Schizosaccharomyces pombe: one gene and its partners. Changing the gene in region 1 together with any one later gene gives a genetic interaction. Each region holds a gene or a part of one and is shown in the gene's direction. Other genes may lie near its edges.

Region 1 (5,945 bases):
TCAATACCAAAAGTGGTCTTGGTAAACGAGTTATGTTTCTGCAGGAAAACGCTATCCGAATTTTTGTTGACCCATATTAATTTAGCAGGAGAAAAAAAAAAGTTTATATATATTTGTCCAAAAAATATTTAAAATTGTCGGTGTTTACCATTATCTACCTAGTATCTATTTGCATCGTTTGCTTCGACCAAAATGGGATTTTCGAGCTAACCATACGTTCAGAAATTCGTAAATCGATAAAAAAAATAGTTTGTAAATCTTGAAAGTGTAATCTATATTGAGATTGTAATGCAATTTTCATGGGACCATCCAACTCAACAAGTGCACCTTGCCGTAATCTGATTTGAAATTGAATTAAATCAATGTTTTTCTCATAGTTTTTAAATTTAATTCCACTATTCCAAAGAAAGAATTGATATGATATGAACAAGCGCCAATCTCAACTTAAATTTGGCAATGAAGGGATCTCATTAGCGGTTCCTAAGCAATCCTTACAAGAATGCTCCTATATGTCCAATTTAATTACAGATAGAGAATCAACATTTTTATCTTACTTTGTCCCGTCTAAAGATCCAAAAATGCTCCCAGTATATAGATTTATGTTTCAAGAATCTGCCGACTTAAAGCATTGCAATCATAAAATGCAAGCTTGGCGTTTTCCCAATGAGATAGAGGCTTTTAATGATGACGGGGAAGAATACTCAGGACAAAAGCTTCTAAACGTGTTGCGAAAAGAAGATGTCTATGGAATGGTCGTTTGCGTCCGATGGTATGGAGGACAATTGCTGGGTCCTGTTCGCTTTCAGCATATCACCATACAGCCAAACAGTCAATTGATAAATACAAATCAGTACTAGAGGAAGAAAGAAAAAAGCAACTCCTGAGGACGGAGACAGGTCTACTCCGCCAAAGTTCGTCAAGATCAAGTTCACTGTTGGATCAGAGAATACGACAAATTACCGCTAAAGACAAAACTGTTAATCTTTTAAGGAAAACTCTAAATAGACCCTTACTTCATGAAGTTGACTATCACGGAAAAAGTCTTGAAATTCTTGATATGTTGTTGCAGAGCAGAAACAGTATGATATCTTCTTTGCGATCCGAACTACAGGAAAAGAATCAAAAAGATAAAAAAAAAGAAGTAAATAAATTAGAAGAGAAAATGACTAATGCTAAAGAACCTAATGTGAATGTCCCTTCTATGAAAGCGTCATCAGCTATTTCCGTTGAGACGCCTGAGACAATTGAATCAGAAGCTTCAGTGGACCACAAGGAAGCATCAAAGATCATAAAAGATGTAGAAAAAGAAGAATAATTGATTGCCAACCGATCTATCTAGATGTTTTCCAAAAACGGAACAGATTTTTGGTACTCAATAGATGGCTATATGCAGCTTAACTATAATGTTTAGAAATGTATTCAGATCCATAAACTTTTTTACGAAAAAAGATAAAACTCCGAGCTGTCTAAGGGTATTGCTTATTTGGCTCATTTGTTTACGATTTTATCTCTATTGGAATTCCACCAACGCCACGGTCTAAAAAAAAAATGGGAAGCTCCAAATCCTCAAAGAAGGATAAGCAAATCCATCCTTTTGGAACAGATGTTTCTACTTTTCGAAAGCTTTCATCAAAGGAAAAAAAAAAACTCGGTATGTTGGGCAAGTTTCTTTAAATTTCATTAACATGAGTGTTCAGATGAAAAAGAGTTAAAACAATACAAAAAGCTAAAGCATAAAGTTAAAAAGCTTAAGTATGTTTTTTAATGCTTTTTATTAAATCACTACTTCCCACTCTAACATAGTATCAGGAAAGAGGAAAGGGAAAGATCGAGTATAAAAAACACCAAAACTCTAGCGGAGGATCCTATGGGTATGTATATTAAGCATTAACAGTAAATGCTCGTTAACACTGAAAAGTAAAAAACGTAGCTGAAAATGATCATGATCAAATGAAAAACTCGTTAAGTAGGAGTCAGGATAAGGGAAACACTGACTACTGGCTTGCAGCGAGTTTGTCTGGTGGAAATCAACGAAAATCAAAATTTTTAAAAATGTTGGGTATAAAAAATGCTGCATCCATCACTGAATCGTCTCCGTCTGCTCAATCTAATAAAACAAATGACAAGCAGAGAGAGAAAGAACTAGAACAACAATATATGCACGGTGTTTTACACAAAGGAACAAAAAAGGGATTGGGCATGTAATTTGGGGTTTATGTTTAGTTTATTCTTTTGGATAATTACCAAAATTCTCATCTTCCTTTTGTTAAACTAGCTTAAAGTGTTCACTTGCATTCTAAACTAGAGGAAACTTTGCTATGAAATTCAATTTTAGTGAACATTGTAAGAGGTTTACTTTTCTTTAATCGAAATGCTGTTTGCTTTATTGGCCATTAGCACCAAAGATGGTATGGTCCATCAAAAATTCGTTCGTGGGACCTCTGTTATCTTTAGGGATAATTGAAAAAAGATTTTCTAATTTATTAAAAGAATTTAGGGTCTTTTACTTTAATTTTACTAACGTCGTAACTAAATTGGAATATGAGAAGGCATTTCATATCTTTGAGGATGAGTCGTTATAAAATAATATCATTACCTGAATATAAACTTATAGAGTAAAAAGGTTCGCGCGTAGAACGCGACACGACACGTAGAGTTGAACGCGACATCTCATTTACTCTTCGTGATTAATTAGATTTCGCGTTTACGTGTCGCGTCGCGTATATTTATAAAAGACATATCTGCTCTTAAACAAAACTTAAACACCAAGCACGAAGTTAATATTACTTAGTAGCCCTTTTATCAAATTTACCTGACTTGTCTATTGGTAAATAACATAATTAGTAAACGGGGTTACTATAAAGTATCGATATGTGTGAAACTCCAATAGGTTGTCATACACCTCGAAGATGCAATCGTTTTATAGATTCTGCAGCCTTGATTGACTGTACTAACAAAACTAATCAAAGGGAGCATTCACCTTCCTTTTCAATAGAGATTCCGACTACACCCAGCAGAAAACGTACGCTGGCTAGCTCACATTTCCAAACACCCACAAAAAGAATAAAATATGAACTAGGAGAACTGCAAGAGGAGAAAACTGACCTTTATCCTAATTTTCCTGCTCAGTTAAAGGAGAATAAGAAACCTAAATTACCCACAACACCTCAAACTCCTAAAACCCCCAAAAGGACCATTCAAATTGTTACACCCAAATCATTAAATCGTACATGTAATCCTGTTCCATTTGCTACTCGCCTTTTGCAATCGACACCTCACCGTCAACTTTTTCCTCCCACTCCTTCGACACCCTCCACTCCGTCCTATAATTCTACTGCCAAATTGAGTTTACGTAAATCATATCGTTCAGCAGGAGTCGTGGGTCGTGAAAATGAGAAGTCAATTGTGGAATCTTTCTTTCGTCAACATCTTGATGCTAATGCTGGAGGTGCATTGTACGTAAGTGGTGCCCCTGGCACAGGAAAGACCGTTCTGCTTCACAACGTGCTGGATCATGTAGTGAGCGATTATCCCAAAGTTAATGTTTGTTACATTAATTGTATGACTATTAATGAACCAAAAGCAATTTTTGAAAAAATTCACTCTAAAATTGTTAAAGAGGAAATTTTAGAAAATGAAGATCATCACATCAATTTCCAATGTGAACTAGAGTCGCATTTCACCCAGTCCGCCAATGAATTATATAACCCAGTCATTATTGTTTTAGATGAAATGGATCACTTGATTGCTCGCGAACAGCAGGTTCTGTACACGCTTTTTGAATGGCCCTCTCGACCGACTTCGAGATTAATTTTGGTAGGCATTGCAAATGCCTTAGACATGACAGATCGATTTCTCCCTCGTTTACGAACAAAGCATATTACTCCCAAATTACTCTCTTTTACGCCTTATACTGCTCAAGAAATCTCAACAATTATAAAAGCGCGTTTGAAAACCGCCGCTACCACATCAGAAAAAAACAATCCTTTTACTCCTATTAAATCAATCTCTGAAGTAAGCGATGATAGTATAAATGTTGTATCTCAGCATGCTGATGAAACACCTTTTATACATCCTGCTGCAATTGAATTATGTGCCCGGAAAGTTGCAGCTTCAAGTGGTGACTTGAGAAAAGCATTAGACATATGTAGGCATGCAATTGAACTTGCGGAAAGAGAATGGAAAGCTCAACATGACAACACATTATCTTCTGTTGATATACCAAGAGCATCAATTGCTCATGTTGTCCGAGCGACATCTGCTATGAGCCAATCTGCTAGTGCTCGTTTAAAAAACCTTGGTCTTCAACAGAAAGCCATCCTTTGTACGCTTGTTGTTTGTGAAAAAACCTCATTGAGTGTTGCCGATGTATTTGAAAAATACAGTTCTTTGTGTCTTCGAGATCGTTTGATTTATCCATTAACAAGTTCGGAATTTTGCGATGTCGCGAATTCTTTAGAAACTCTTGCAATCATTCGTTTGCGCACGAAGCAGCGTAACGGAAAGCCTCAGGACCGAATCATTAGTTTGCTTGTTCCAGAAATGGATGTCATTACAGCTGTTGGAGACATTGGTACCTTAAAACGATTTTTTGACAGAAGATAGTACTATCATTTCTTTCTCATTCTTTTTTTCTATTCATTATATTTTTATTTCACGCGTTACGGTTTTCAAATTTTGCCGAAAGGATCAAATTAGAACATCCTTTCAATTTCGTTGTTTGGATTACATAAATTTGAACAATATTATTTATCCAACTTGGTGTTTAAACTTTTCAGGTTGATCTTTACTAATTTTACTAACTATACAATTAATAAACACTTTAATCTAAGTTATATCTAATGATTATTCGTAAGAACGCATACCCGTGGTTCAGTCTCAAGTGGTGGTATAAGTAAACTTACGTAGCAAAAGCACTTCTCAATTTTGGGGTCTCTAAGAAAAAATATATACACAAAACTGAATATGATTGACAAAAATTTATAAGACGACATAGTAATCATATAAGCTGCGGAATAACAGTTACTATATCTAGCTAAAGCTTGTTCAATTCTTTTATTCTATGAGATTAACATCTACGGAAATTCGATAATTGATTTGATAAGATTCATTTGCCGATATCTTTTCTAAAGAGTCCACAAAACAACACGTCCGTCGGTACCGCTGGAGGTAAACGCAGTAATATTGCCAGGAGTCCCAGCGTAAGGTCGAAGGGTTGCAATCATATTTTGATGAACGGTTGGTAAAGACGAAATAGACTGGCTGGAGCCCTTCAAATCCATGTTACGGAATGTGCTACGAAGAGCAGTAAATGAAACAGGACCCTCTTCCTCTCTACCTTCACCAGTATTTCCTGTGTGAGTGAATGAGGTCTTGGAAGTTCCGGCATCCAAATCGCGAGTATGGGCCCAACCGGACTCATTGCCTTGCAAAAGAATAGGAGAATAGTTATAGCCAGCAGCCACAATGGCACTCTCATTCGCCCAAAGAAGAGAACGCAAAGGCAATTGAGATAATTTGACAGTAATTAGAGCTCGTGGGGGTTGCTCGGGAGCACTGGGATATGCAATCGTAACAGAAGAATCATGGCCAGCATACGCTAAGGCATTACCCGAAGGTGAAAATCCAACGGCGTGAACCCAACCACCAGATGGGTATTCAGCGCAAACAGTGTTGAAAGGTAAACGTGAACCCCAAACGCTGGCTTCTGGTTTGGCATCGACATCACGAACATAAGCAGATAAAACGTATGCCTTACGGTCTGCACAGCCGGCAGCTAATAAAACGTTATTAGGATGCCAGTCCAAAGACAAAATGGTACTACGAAGCGGACGTTTCAGATGTTTGCTGACCCACCAGTCATTTTCTTGTTCAAAGTAGCAAACAGAAATGACACGAGCACCACTACCAACAGCAAACTTGTCCTCGTTAGGCGACCAACGAAC
Region 2 (4,277 bases), 1.7 Mb from region 1:
TCTAAAGTAATAGCCGTTTGCAAAAGAAGTTTAACATTGTTTGAGTAAGCATCAAGCAAGGAACTCATGCAATCCATTTCATTAGCCATAGTTGCAAATATATAAATCTGCAAAAAAGTGTGTAAAGTATCTTTAGGATCAATTTCTTCAAATATTCGCAAGAAGACATCCCGTATCGACTTTAAGCATAAACGAAATGAATTGTCAAACATTTTTTCAGCGATTCCTATTAAACTCAAATAGCGAGAAGCAGAAGAGTTACCTGAGAAAGTCACTCCGTCCACTAAGTATTCAATTTCATCAACGATCCTTTGCTGCTCTCCAGCAAAGCGAAGTTCATGTATACTTTTCATTTGAATTTCATCATCTTCTGATACGTCTTCCTCTATCAAAAAAGCACGTTCTGTACCAATAGTATGGTTGGTTGAATCCAATTCTCGACCAGAGGATACTTCACGGGGTACAATTGGCTGAGTATCTAATCCTTCCTCCATCAAATACGATCTTTGTTCCCGATAGGTAGTGGAAGAATGGTTTGCGGAAGCATCAATACTACTACAGCTCGCGGACCTTTCCAGTCCTGTCTTATGAGAACCGTACTTTGAATTCTGAAGTCCATTTCTTAAAATTTGTTTTACCGGTGAAGACGGTAAACTCAAATCAGGATTACTAACGACCCTTTGCTTTTTATGCAGTCGTTTAGACACGGTCTGTCCTGGCGAGCGCTTTTGCTTGTTTAACTCTGAAACTGTCACGTCTAAAAAGTTCCAAACTTCCGATTCCGAAGAAATTCTCTTCAAACCATTATCTTTTTCCTTACATTTTCCTCTTTTCATTTCAAGGTTTCTTCAATCCGCCTGGCTTGACATCGATTCTTTACAAAAATGGAGGAACACGGTCGTACCAACTCACAATGTAGCTTGTCGAGTGAGTGAAAACCTTCGAAAATAGAGCTTAATAACTTCTTGAGCAAAGAAAAAAGAAAATAGGGTCCTTGATGAGAAATTCGTTTTTTATACTCAGTAATTTTAGAATCGTTTTTCTATTTGTACTTGGTTGATTTCAATCGGTCCTTATAGATATTTGAGTCACATTGTTACTCTACCCAGTATAAATAGAAAAGACTTAGTCGATAGAAATCATACAGGGCATCTTTTTATTCATTTATTATAGCAACTTATCCACTGATAGTAAAAAAGTTAACTAAAAGTTTTGAATTCGTACAACTTATGGAAGACCATAAGTGGACGAGTGGCTATTTGACACAAGTTTGTTTTCAGAGAGCCTGAACTTGGTGCAACACCTTTATTATACAGAAATCATTGTGACATGTAACATATTATTGAAAATTTCGACAACGAACAACTCAATAATATCTCGCAGAGCAAAGGAGTTATTCAAAATTTATATAACGATGCATCCTGTAATAATTTTAAACTCGTATAAGAGATTCTATAAAAACTTCGGAAAATGAAAAGCTGTAGTTAAAAAATTGTTTTGTGAATTTTGTACAAGTGTTGGAACTTATTTATTCAATATAATCTACTGAATCATATAGGCTAAGTAAGACATAAACTGATTAGTCGGACAAATGTGAACTAGTTAGCAAGCGCGACACGATAGCTACGCGACGCGTCAACAAACGCGACACGCTCAAATTTAATATAACCCTCGATATAAATGAAATGTCGCGCCCTATATAGTCACGACAACAATATCCTTATTTTTGGATTTTGTGTTCAAATCATGAGCGCTGGATCGCAAACAAAATTGAACTTCTCTGTCCGTAAAACTCGATCCTCATCAAAAAGGTCGAATGCGGCCATTATTGAGCCACCCAAAAATCCTGAGGATTCTCAAATAATACCAGCTGTTAAAAGGCTGAAAGAGAACTTGGACACTGAGTCTTTAGAACAAAATGAGGTTTTACCCCCAGTTAAAAATGAATCAGTTCTTTTCTTAGAAAAGGTCTTTAATGCAGTCGACATATGTGTAAAATTTCACCTCTCCATCAATACCAAACCAACCTTTGTGCTGTTAGAAAATAAAGTCTCTGGTCTCACCAAAATCTCCTTAAAAATAACTCATCTCGCTCAGATTTTAACCGTATGGCCAGAGTCATTTGCTATTACCCCATGTTTTACTATTCATCAAGGAAAGCGTGTTGCAACATATGAACTGTCATACCCTCGCAATGCGAATCTTCCTGAAGCCTTCTCCCGCTCCATTGAATTTAAACGGAGACTAGAAAAATGGTTGTTAGAGCATTGTTCTGAAACTGAGATTCCTGCTCAACAGTTACAAGCTTTACCCAGTCTATCCAAGAATACTGTTAATGAAAGTTCACTAGTTCGAAAGCTCAATTTGGAGAAATCAACAAGTCGCGAGTTACGTATTCCCACACAAACTCTAGAACCAAAATTCACTACTAACACGGCAAAATATGCTAATGAGTTAGTCTCGTGTAGCATGCTTGACAGTTCGTCCACTTTGTCAAAGTCAGTGAATTCAAAAATCAATTTGAAATCCCATCAAAGTTCTTCATCTGTTCAAAATTCATCGCGTAAGCTAACATCATCTCAGTTAACTTTGAGACAATCTTCTCTGTTCGATCGCGTGCGTAAAAAGCAAAAAGCAATGGAAGCAAAAAAAGCTGAAGAATTTAAAAACAACCTAGTTGTTCATACTCTAGCAAAAGAAAAGGTCTCATTTGTCCGCATTATTGATCTCATTTTTGTTCAGCTTTCCACTTGGCCAACTAAACGATCTTTTTCTATGTCTGAAATTGTGACAAGCATGCAAATGTCGATATCATCAAGCTTATCACCTGACCAGTGTGCCAAAGCAATTGAGTTGCTTTCAAAAGCTTTGCCTGCTTGGTGCACTATCAATCTTCTTGGTAATATTCAAGTAGTCACATTCAGCAGGATTGTTAATGGGAAACCATACTTGCGATCCCAATTAATTGAAGAATTGCAAACAAAGGCTAGCATCACTATTCTTTCAAATTCTTAATTGTAGGCGATGTTTCGAATGACATGCCTAAGATCACCACTGCTGGCAGTGGTTTAACGTTTACTATCTTTTACGATCTATATAATTTCCATCACCAATATTATGATACTATGGAATCTTTCATTAATTTACTTTTGTTATTATGTTTTTGGTTGATTTACTCTTCTAGGTACATGAAATCCGGTTATCCTTTTTAACAAGCTACAAAATTACTTTTTTTTAATAAATAATTATTTCCTTTAAGACCACTTAACCTGCCATAAATCCCAAGTTTTTGTTTTTCTGCGAATACTTTAAATTAACACCCAAACATTGAATAAAATTTTTTGATATTTACCAATTCCAGCGGCAAAGGGTGGCAGTTATTGCTGTAATTAAAAATCTCAAATAAGGCGCCGTTTTTAATAAACAATCTGAGTGAATCATATCGATAATGTAAAGGTTGCTAGTTAGAACACACAAATTGAGGTATAACTCGCACATTAAGATATCATAATCATTGGTCAAGCAGACAACATCTGAAGCATACCAACCAACTCATTTGCCCTTTGAGTAACCGCTACTTCCTGCTCAACTTTTTCACGAAGCTTTGAAATTGCATTTTCCACCATTACGCTGCCCCCAAGAGCAGCTCCGTATATATCTAAAATGGTGCTAGTAACTATACATAAAGTTTCGGAGAAACGAGGGTCTCTTATATATTTTCTTAAGAAGTTTATCAAAGGAGTAAGAGATAAATCATCTCTGTTAGACAATGCAATCCGTAACCCTCCAACATGAAGAAGCTCAATAAGCATAGTTATGATAAGAACAGGTGATCCGTTCTCCAATACCATATCCAAAGCATCAGAGTAACAAAATGATTTTAAAGCTTTGTCGAAAGGACGAAGTCTTTTACGTCTAGCCTCTTCGACATAAAATTCATCGTTCTCGCCCTTATAGATTTGTTTCTTTTTACCTACTACACCAAAAGCACTTCCGACGCCCCCTAAGAAAGGAGTTTTTGAGCTCGTTTGCTTGGTTATACGTCGAGTCCGTTGCGATAATGTACCGTTCGACATACCCACAACTAAATTGCAGCTATCCGGAGAAAGTCCCATAGATAAAATAGGGCCAGAATATTTCATGCCATGGACAACTTTCCAATCGGAGATGTTATAAATTTTCACATGTCCGTCTAAACCACCACTCAAAAGTCTAGTATTCTCGGAGTTCATGGCAAGGCATGTGATACTCTTTTGATGATTAGACAGCTTCTTCGT
Region 3 (7,560 bases), on another chromosome or scaffold:
TGCGTTCTTCTCGAAATCAGAAACTGATTAGTACAATATTAAGTCTTTTATCCCACGATATACTTTTCTAATAAAATAAATATTCTTATAAAACTTTTCTAAAAGTACTGATTTTCTATAATATTATACTGATTTAAGACTTGGAAGAATTCTATATAGCGCAATAGAACGTGGTACGGCTTCTTACACTTTTATCTGCGGCGAATCAATGAGTTGACATTCAAGCTCAAAATTGCCTTATTATAAACACTTTACAATATCCATATTCAAGATGAATTCGATGTTTAGATTTTGGATTCCTAAAACCAGTATATCCATGCAACTTCGCATGCTGTCCACACAAACTCGTCAAGCTCTTGAACAGGCCGTCAAAGAGGATCCTATCGTTTTATTCATGAAAGGTACACCTACCCGCCCAATGTGTGGATTTTCATTAAAGGCGATTCAAATTCTTTCATTAGAAAACGTTGCTTCCGATAAATTAGTTACGTACAACGTTTTGAGTAATGATGAGCTACGTGAAGGTATAAAGGAGTTCAGCGACTGGCCTACGATTCCTCAACTTTATATTAACGGAGAATTCGTGGGCGGTAGTGATATCTTGGCGTCCATGCATAAATCGTAAGTAATGTTTTAAACTGTATTTTTATTATTTGGTAGAGAGACGGTGAGGATTGAGGAGGTGTCATAGGAAATGTTAAAGATGATGAAGGAGGATTCTACAACTGTTTAATCACTCTAGTTGATATTAAAGATAAAAAAACCCTGTTATATTTTCGCTCTTTCTTCAAATGAACTTTCCCTTTTAAAGCATTGGATAAAAATCAACTATTAGTGTATCAGTGTCTTTAATTCGTCGTCTATATATGCCACATTGTTCTCTCCCTCATTTTTTCTCTCATATTTAATTATTTCTCCTTGTCAACATTTCTGTATTAACAATTTGTCTGTAGAGGAGAGCTTCACAAAATTCTAAAAGAAATAAATGCTTTGGCCCCTGAACAGCCAAAGGATAGTGAAGAGGAAACTACTAAAAAGGATTGAGTCCACATTGCAAATTAATTTGCACAACGTACCACGGTCTTGTGCATTTTTTAGTTTATTGGTCAACTTGACACCACAGGCCATGTATATCAATCAGACGTTATTCAATTATCTTTTTGCTGTACGCTTGATATTCTTTAATGAAGCTTTGAAATTCTGTTTCTCCTCTTTTTTGTGTTCATGCCCTTTCATGACAAAATGTTGGAAATAATGTAAAAGAGCTCTATAAGAAAAAATAATTTTTATCGGAAGTTATTTTTTGGATCAACCTCAATATCAATTTGAAAGCGATCATGTTCATGTTCATGTCCATCCAAATGACATAGAGAATGGAAATTAGTGTCGTGATTTATGCCTTATTGTTATTCCTTGACTTTTTTTTTAAAAAAAATGTCGTAAATTAGATTTAATGTTAAAGCGCTATTGCTGAATACTGTTTTATTTTGCTTATGTTGTTGCACAGAACAATGTCTTGGTAGGTGTAATTCACAGAAAGCATTACGATTGGTTATCTGATATGATTTAAAAATTCTTCTTTGATTATATAAAGTACTGGCTTATCGACGTTACGAGACGTTTACCAAACTTTTATTAACAGATGCTTGTGTTTCTTGACAAACAACATTATTCCTTCCAAGCTCAGCATATAGCGAATTATAGTGTAACTGCGATATAAAGTATTAGCGAACTCTCCCTTTTTAATTCTATTCAAATTGCGTTAGTTTGTGTAGCATGTAATGACGGCACGCGCATAGTGAATTGTAATATACAAAACGCTACACCAAAGCGCGCGCTCTAAAACACGCCAAAACGAGGTGCACGCAACTTAGCTTGCGCGAAAGCGCGTTTCTCGCGTCGCGTCGCGTTTACTTCTTTTATATGCTTGCTATGCCTGTCTTTTGCTTTTTCACTGACACTTTGACTTGTGTTGAGTTACAAGAAAGGCTTCAAAGGCACTTGTACAAGTGTAATTTCCCTTTTACAAGACTCTACCAAAGGTTGGATCCACCTTGAAGTCCTTCTCTTGTTGTCGCTGCTTTTTGCGTTTCTTCTTTTCTCTTTGAATATTCCTTCTTTCTAATTTCTTTTTTCAAATACATGCTATAGGGATCAGTTTAGGCTCCATATACTAGGTTGAGCTGGTTTTAACTGTAAACAATAGTAAATTAAGCTTTCAGTATTTTGAGTGTCAAGCTAGTTTTTACTCCGGAGTATCTTATTTCTACTGTACTTATTTTCTTTTAATTAATTTTTTACACTTTTCAGCTGCTAAGTGTCGGTTTCTATTGTGTACTTTACCGTTTTAAGTTTCTTTGTTTTCTTTGTTCTGGTTCGCTTATTGTCCTACTCTTTTACAGGAGGCGCTTGCCAAAGACAGTCATTTCTCTTATAACAAGTACACTATATCTTATTAAAACATAATTAATCGTCCCCTTTCGATATTAGTGCAACAATTGCTATCCTACAGTCTTCCCAATTGCAATTTATTTAGCCTTTCAGCATTGCTCTCGCCCTCAAGCTGAAAAGGTTTTACTCGCTTTTCTTGCTGGAAAAATAACACCTACATTTGTTATTCTTTTAAATTCGAACTATCAAACTTATTTGCTTGTATTGTTCGTCTTAGTGCTGCTTTTTCTGATCCATCGTTTGTTTATCAAACCTTCAACTTTGCTTTTTCTAAACTAATTACAAAGAAGTGTTCTTTTTAATTCTCTTCGTTAATCATTGTCCCTTTAAACTACGCTCTTGTGCTTTATAAGAGTTAATTCTGCATACCTCAAAGAGGTAAATTCATTTTCGAATCGAACGTTAAAAAATTTATCTTTACTTTTTTTTCTTTCTCAATTTTGATTACATCTGCTTGTTTTTTTTTTTCGTTTATATCCACAACAGTAGGTTGGTTTGGTTTGTTTACACAATTCATTTGTTTATGTTTGGACGATTTCTTTCCCTTTCTTCCTATCAACAACAATAGAATAATTCGGACCCATTGATTTATTCTCATTTAAAAGAGAAACTTTAAAAATTCGCTATAAGTGCTTTCTGTTTCTCGATCGCTCAATTTCCCTAATTTATCCATCTTGTCAATTGAGATTAATTTACCAAAAACAGTTTCCTTATTTTAATAAAAAGAAGACATTTTTGGTTACAAACAATCAGATATATTTCTATACGTTGATAAAAGGGTAATTTATCAATCCATATTTCATATGGCTCTCTATTCAATTTCAAAGCCTGTTGGTTCTAAAATCAATAAGCATAGTTATCAAGATGAAAACACACTTGTTGGCAAACAAGCTTTATCAAAAGGGACTGAGAAGACAAAATTATCTACAAATTTTGAAATTAATCTGCCACGTCGAACTGTCCTATCTGATGTTTCCAATGTAGGTAAAAATAATGCTGATGAGAAGGATACGAAAAAAGCGAAAAGATCGTTCGATGAATCTAATTTATCTACAAATGAAGAAGCTGATAAACCTGTCGAATCTAAATTCGTGAAAAAGTTGAAAGTTTATAGCAAAAATGCGGATCCATCTGTAGAAACTTTACAAAAGGACAGAGTCTCTAATGTTGATGATCATTTATCCTCCAATCCTTTGATGGCTGAGGAATACGCACCCGAAATATTTGAGTACATCAGAAAGCTGGATTTAAAGTGTCTTCCCAATCCAAAATATATGGACCAACAAAAAGAATTAACCTGGAAAATGAGGGAAATTTTGAATGAATGGTTGGTGGAAATACATTCCAACTTTTGTTTAATGCCCGAAACCCTTTATTTGGCAGTCAATATAATTGATCGATTCTTGTCGCGTCGTTCATGCTCTTTGTCTAAATTTCAATTAACAGGCATTACTGCTCTTCTCATCGCTAGCAAATATGAGGAGGTTATGTGTCCTTCGATACAAAACTTTGTTTACATGACTGATGGTGCTTTTACCGTAGAAGATGTCTGTGTCGCTGAACGTTATATGTTAAATGTTCTCAATTTTGACTTGTCCTATCCAAGTCCTTTAAATTTTCTTCGCAAAATATCTCAAGCAGAAGGTTATGATGCACAAACAAGGACATTGGGGAAATACCTAACAGAAATTTATCTGTTTGACCACGATTTATTACGATATCCTATGTCTAAAATTGCTGCTGCCGCAATGTATTTGAGCCGCCGATTATTGCGTCGCGGCCCATGGACGCCAAAGTTAGTTGAAAGCTCTGGTGGGTATGAAGAGCATGAATTAAAGGAGATAGCGTATATTATGCTTCATTATCATAACAAGCCTCTAGAACACAAAGCCTTTTTCCAAAAATACTCCTCAAAAAGGTTCCTGAAGGCTAGTATTTTTGTTCATCAACTCGTCCGTCAACGATACTCAGTCAATCGTACGGACGATGATGACCTTCAATCAGAACCGTCTTCTTCTTTAACAAATGATGGTCACTAACGAACGCTCTTATAAATTTTCTTACGCAAATATTCTGTTGAATATGAGGTTGAGCTCTTCTTTTATTATTTATTATCATAACTTATTTACTTTTTAAAGAGCTTCTTTTTCTTCTTCTCTTTCTTTGAATCTTATCATCTTTATGCAAGGACTGTTTTCAAGTATGTCATCAAGCCTTTCCTCCTTGATAACTAAGTCCTTAATTATATACCATATACCCAAGTTTTATCCAAGAGTTTTAGAATTGAAAATTTTGTAGTCTACTAAACAAACCGTGTTGATGCTTAATCCTCACACATTGTCTTTTAGATGATTCCGTTGATTCTAGAGTATTCGATAATTTCATTCCTTACTTTATGTTACGTTTACATTTTTTATTTCAAAATACGTGTACGTTGTTTCCTCATATTTCTGTTAAACAACATGTTTCTAATTAATGGAGTTTTCTTTATTCATTCATAAAACTTAAAGCTCAAGCGGTATATAACAAACTGGCTAAACCATTAATAGGCAAAAACCAAGTAACTCATAAAGATAAACAAAGAAAGTAGACATAAGGAAAAAGGTAAAGCTGACTCGTTTTCTATACAAAAAGGGAATTTTTAAACCTAAGAAACAAACTTTTAATTGATAACAAATATAGAAAAAGAAGGCGATTTCCAACGAGAATAAGGAAATAAAAAAGAAAAATTCGATAATAGAATCACTGTTATTCTGTCTCATACATTCGTCTTAAATTAATGAACATTTGAGCTTTTTTTATCGAGAGCTTGGCGATTGTGAGAAATCCAAATGTCATGCCCACCTAATCGTCCGCTGGCTTCACTAACAAGTGTTGAGATAGGAATCATTAAAGCTACGCTAGTAGCTGAAGAAACAGAAGGTGAACGGATCTTCATAAATCTCTGTTTTACACGGGGACGAAGACGTTCAGGAAGCGCTTCCATCTGTTTATCAAATTTGGAGTTGTTGAGTAGGTGGCGTATCCTTCCTCCTCTAATGCGTTGAACGAAGCCAAGGGAATGACGAATAGAGTCAATAACTTCGTTGGGAGATGTGGGTTCATACGGGATAAGACTAAGGGATTCAACATCATGATCGGTTGAACGGCGCTTAGAACGGAACCTAGGATTTAGAATCCAAGAGAAAACAGTGTCAATTGTCTTAACCGGAAGGACCTTTCTTAGGAAATTGTTTGGTACACAACGAATCAAGGCTCCAAGTGGGATAGAGATAACACCAAACACGATGGAAATCGCCCATCCTTTACCATCGATTCTTTTTACGGAGAATGCGGCACCTCCGAAAAAAACAATTATAACTTGGATACCAGCAACAATAACGAAAATAGCAATAAAGAGGAAGTTATGGTTAATACGTTCAAAAATATTGAGCTTGTTATCCAATCTCCGATTGTTAATTTCGTTAAACAGCTGGAGCCAGACAAAGGTATTGAAAACAATAGTATTCATGTCCGCAGTATTGGAAGGGTAATGGAAGATACTATTACCAGCAAAGTGTAGCACCAAAGTAACAGCAAGTTGGTACATAGATTGACAAATAATCATTTTCCACATGTCAAAAGTAAAAAGCGATGCACCTGGTTTCTCAGGTTTCCTCTTTAACACTTCAGGAGTAGGAGGGTCAGTGGCAAGTGCAAGAGCAGCAAGTGTATCCATAATTAAATTAACCCACAAAAGCTGAACAGCAGTTAAAACAGAGCTTTGGTCAGTCGAGGCAACAGCAGAGATAATAGTCAAGAAAACAGCCGTAATATTCACGGTAATTTGAAATTGCAGGAATTTTTTTACAGCGTCGTTAACGGTTCTTCCCCAAGCAATTGCTTTCACAATTGACGAGAAGTTGTCGTCCATAAGGATAATATCGGACGCCTCCTTGGCAACTTCGGTTCCCGATTTACCCATTGAAAAGCCGACGTTAGCTTTTTTTAGTGCAGGCGCATCATTGGTACCATCACCTGTAACCGCTACTACGTTACCAAGCTTCTGCAGTCCTTCAATCAATAACTGTTTGTCCAAAGGAGATGAGCGTGCAAGTACATCTAATTTGGGTAAGATTTCTAAGCGTTTCTCATCAGAAAGAGATCGAAATTCCGGTCCTTCCATGGATATTCCATCCTCTGTGTAAATTCCGCACTGCGAAGCAATAGCCTTAGCAGTAACAATATTATCACCAGTAACCATACGAACAGTCACCCCTGCACCTTGGCAAACCTTTACAGCCAAAGGTACATCTGGCCGAATAGGGTCCATGATACCGAAAAATCCTAAGAAAGTCATGTCTGTAAATGCGTCTTCCCATTTCAAAGGATTAGAACTATCCTCGTCATTGGTGGGAATATCTTTGGGAGGCCAAGAGTCAAACACACGATAGCATAAACCTAAAGTACGAAGAGATCTTTTGGCATATCCAGTGATCATTTCTTTAAAATAATCTGCATGAGAATGCATATCTTCAACTTCGTCAAGGGAGCCATTGGTAATAACTGATGTAGACTGTTGCAAAACTCTTTCCGGCATACCTTTTACTACAAAGTAATACTTGTCTTTGTATTCAAATATAGCACCAGATGCTTTGCGGTCAGAGGAAAATGAGAAGAATTGCTTGATATCAACGCTTGAACGCATGCTATCGACGTTTGTAAGTCCCAGCTCTTTGACTGACATATCAAGTAATGCTGTTTCTGTCTTAGAACCTATAAACCTTGGGGTGTCAGAATTATCCTCAAATAGCTGTCGACATGTCGAATTGACAGCAATACTGTAAAGAGTTAAGTCCCGAAGTTCTGGGGAAAGGCGCTTAAAGGCGAATGCGCTAGCACCAGCGTCTTCGAACTTTGAAGAATCGGAACCCTGATCAACGTTGGTAGGAGTTTCATCATTATGATCAAAAAACAACACATCTGTGCCAAATCCACCCGCAACAACAGTCATTCGATTTTGGGTTAACGTACCAGTTTTATCCGAGCAAATGTTAGTAGCTGTTCCCATCGTTTCACAAGCTTGTAAGTGACGGACCAAGTTATTATCTTTCTGCATGCGATTTGTAG

What was found. A genetic interaction does not mean that the proteins touch.
Region 2: of cdc18 (region 1) and cdt1, changing one enhances a phenotype caused by changing the other (phenotypic enhancement), as found in Schizosaccharomyces pombe (3 studies listed by BioGRID).
Region 3: of cdc18 (region 1) and cig2, a mutation in one rescues a mutant of the other (synthetic rescue), as found in Schizosaccharomyces pombe (3 studies listed by BioGRID).

The regions. Positions count from the first base shown.
Region 1 is NC_003423.3:2,214,800-2,220,744, reverse strand, and holds cdc18 (MCM loader), read left to right. Parts: upstream 1-2,760; 5' UTR 2,761-2,871; coding exon 2,872-4,605; 3' UTR 4,606-4,790; downstream 4,791-5,945. Other genes in the region: protein tam10, read left to right, coding at 1,549-1,651, 1,698-1,752, 1,810-1,871, 1,919-2,205; arc1 (ARP2/3 actin-organizing complex WD repeat subunit Sop2), read right to left, coding at 5,127-5,945. UniProt on the Schizosaccharomyces pombe protein: Part of the checkpoint control that prevents mitosis from occurring until S phase is completed. Plays a key role in coupling S phase to start and mitosis. Acts at the initiation of DNA replication and plays a major role in controlling the onset of S-phase.
Region 2 is NC_003423.3:475,685-479,961, forward strand, and holds cdt1 (DNA replication licensing factor Cdt1), read left to right. Parts: upstream 1-1,707; 5' UTR 1,708-1,746; coding exon 1,747-3,015; 3' UTR 3,016-3,054; downstream 3,055-4,277. Other genes in the region: wpl1 (WAPL family protein), read right to left, coding at 1-836; U3 snoRNP protein Utp15, read right to left, coding at 3,519-4,277. UniProt on the Schizosaccharomyces pombe protein: DNA replication licensing factor, required for pre-replication complex assembly. Faithful duplication of the genetic material requires 'once per cell cycle' DNA replication initiation and elongation.
Region 3 is NC_003424.3:2,707,826-2,715,385, forward strand, and holds cig2 (G1/S-specific B-type cyclin Cig2), read left to right. Parts: upstream 1-1,956; 5' UTR 1,957-3,254; coding exon 3,255-4,490; 3' UTR 4,491-5,227; downstream 5,228-7,560. Other genes in the region: mitochondrial [2Fe-2S] cluster assembly and transfer glutaredoxin Grx5, read left to right, coding at 272-621, 954-1,044; P2 type calcium transporting P-type ATPase Pmc1, read right to left, coding at 5,228-7,560. UniProt on the Schizosaccharomyces pombe protein: Essential for the control of the cell cycle at the G2/M and G1/S (mitosis) transition. Interacts with the cdc2 protein kinase to form MPF. Interaction with res2 promotes the phosphorylation of res1 and inhibits MBF-dependent gene transcription.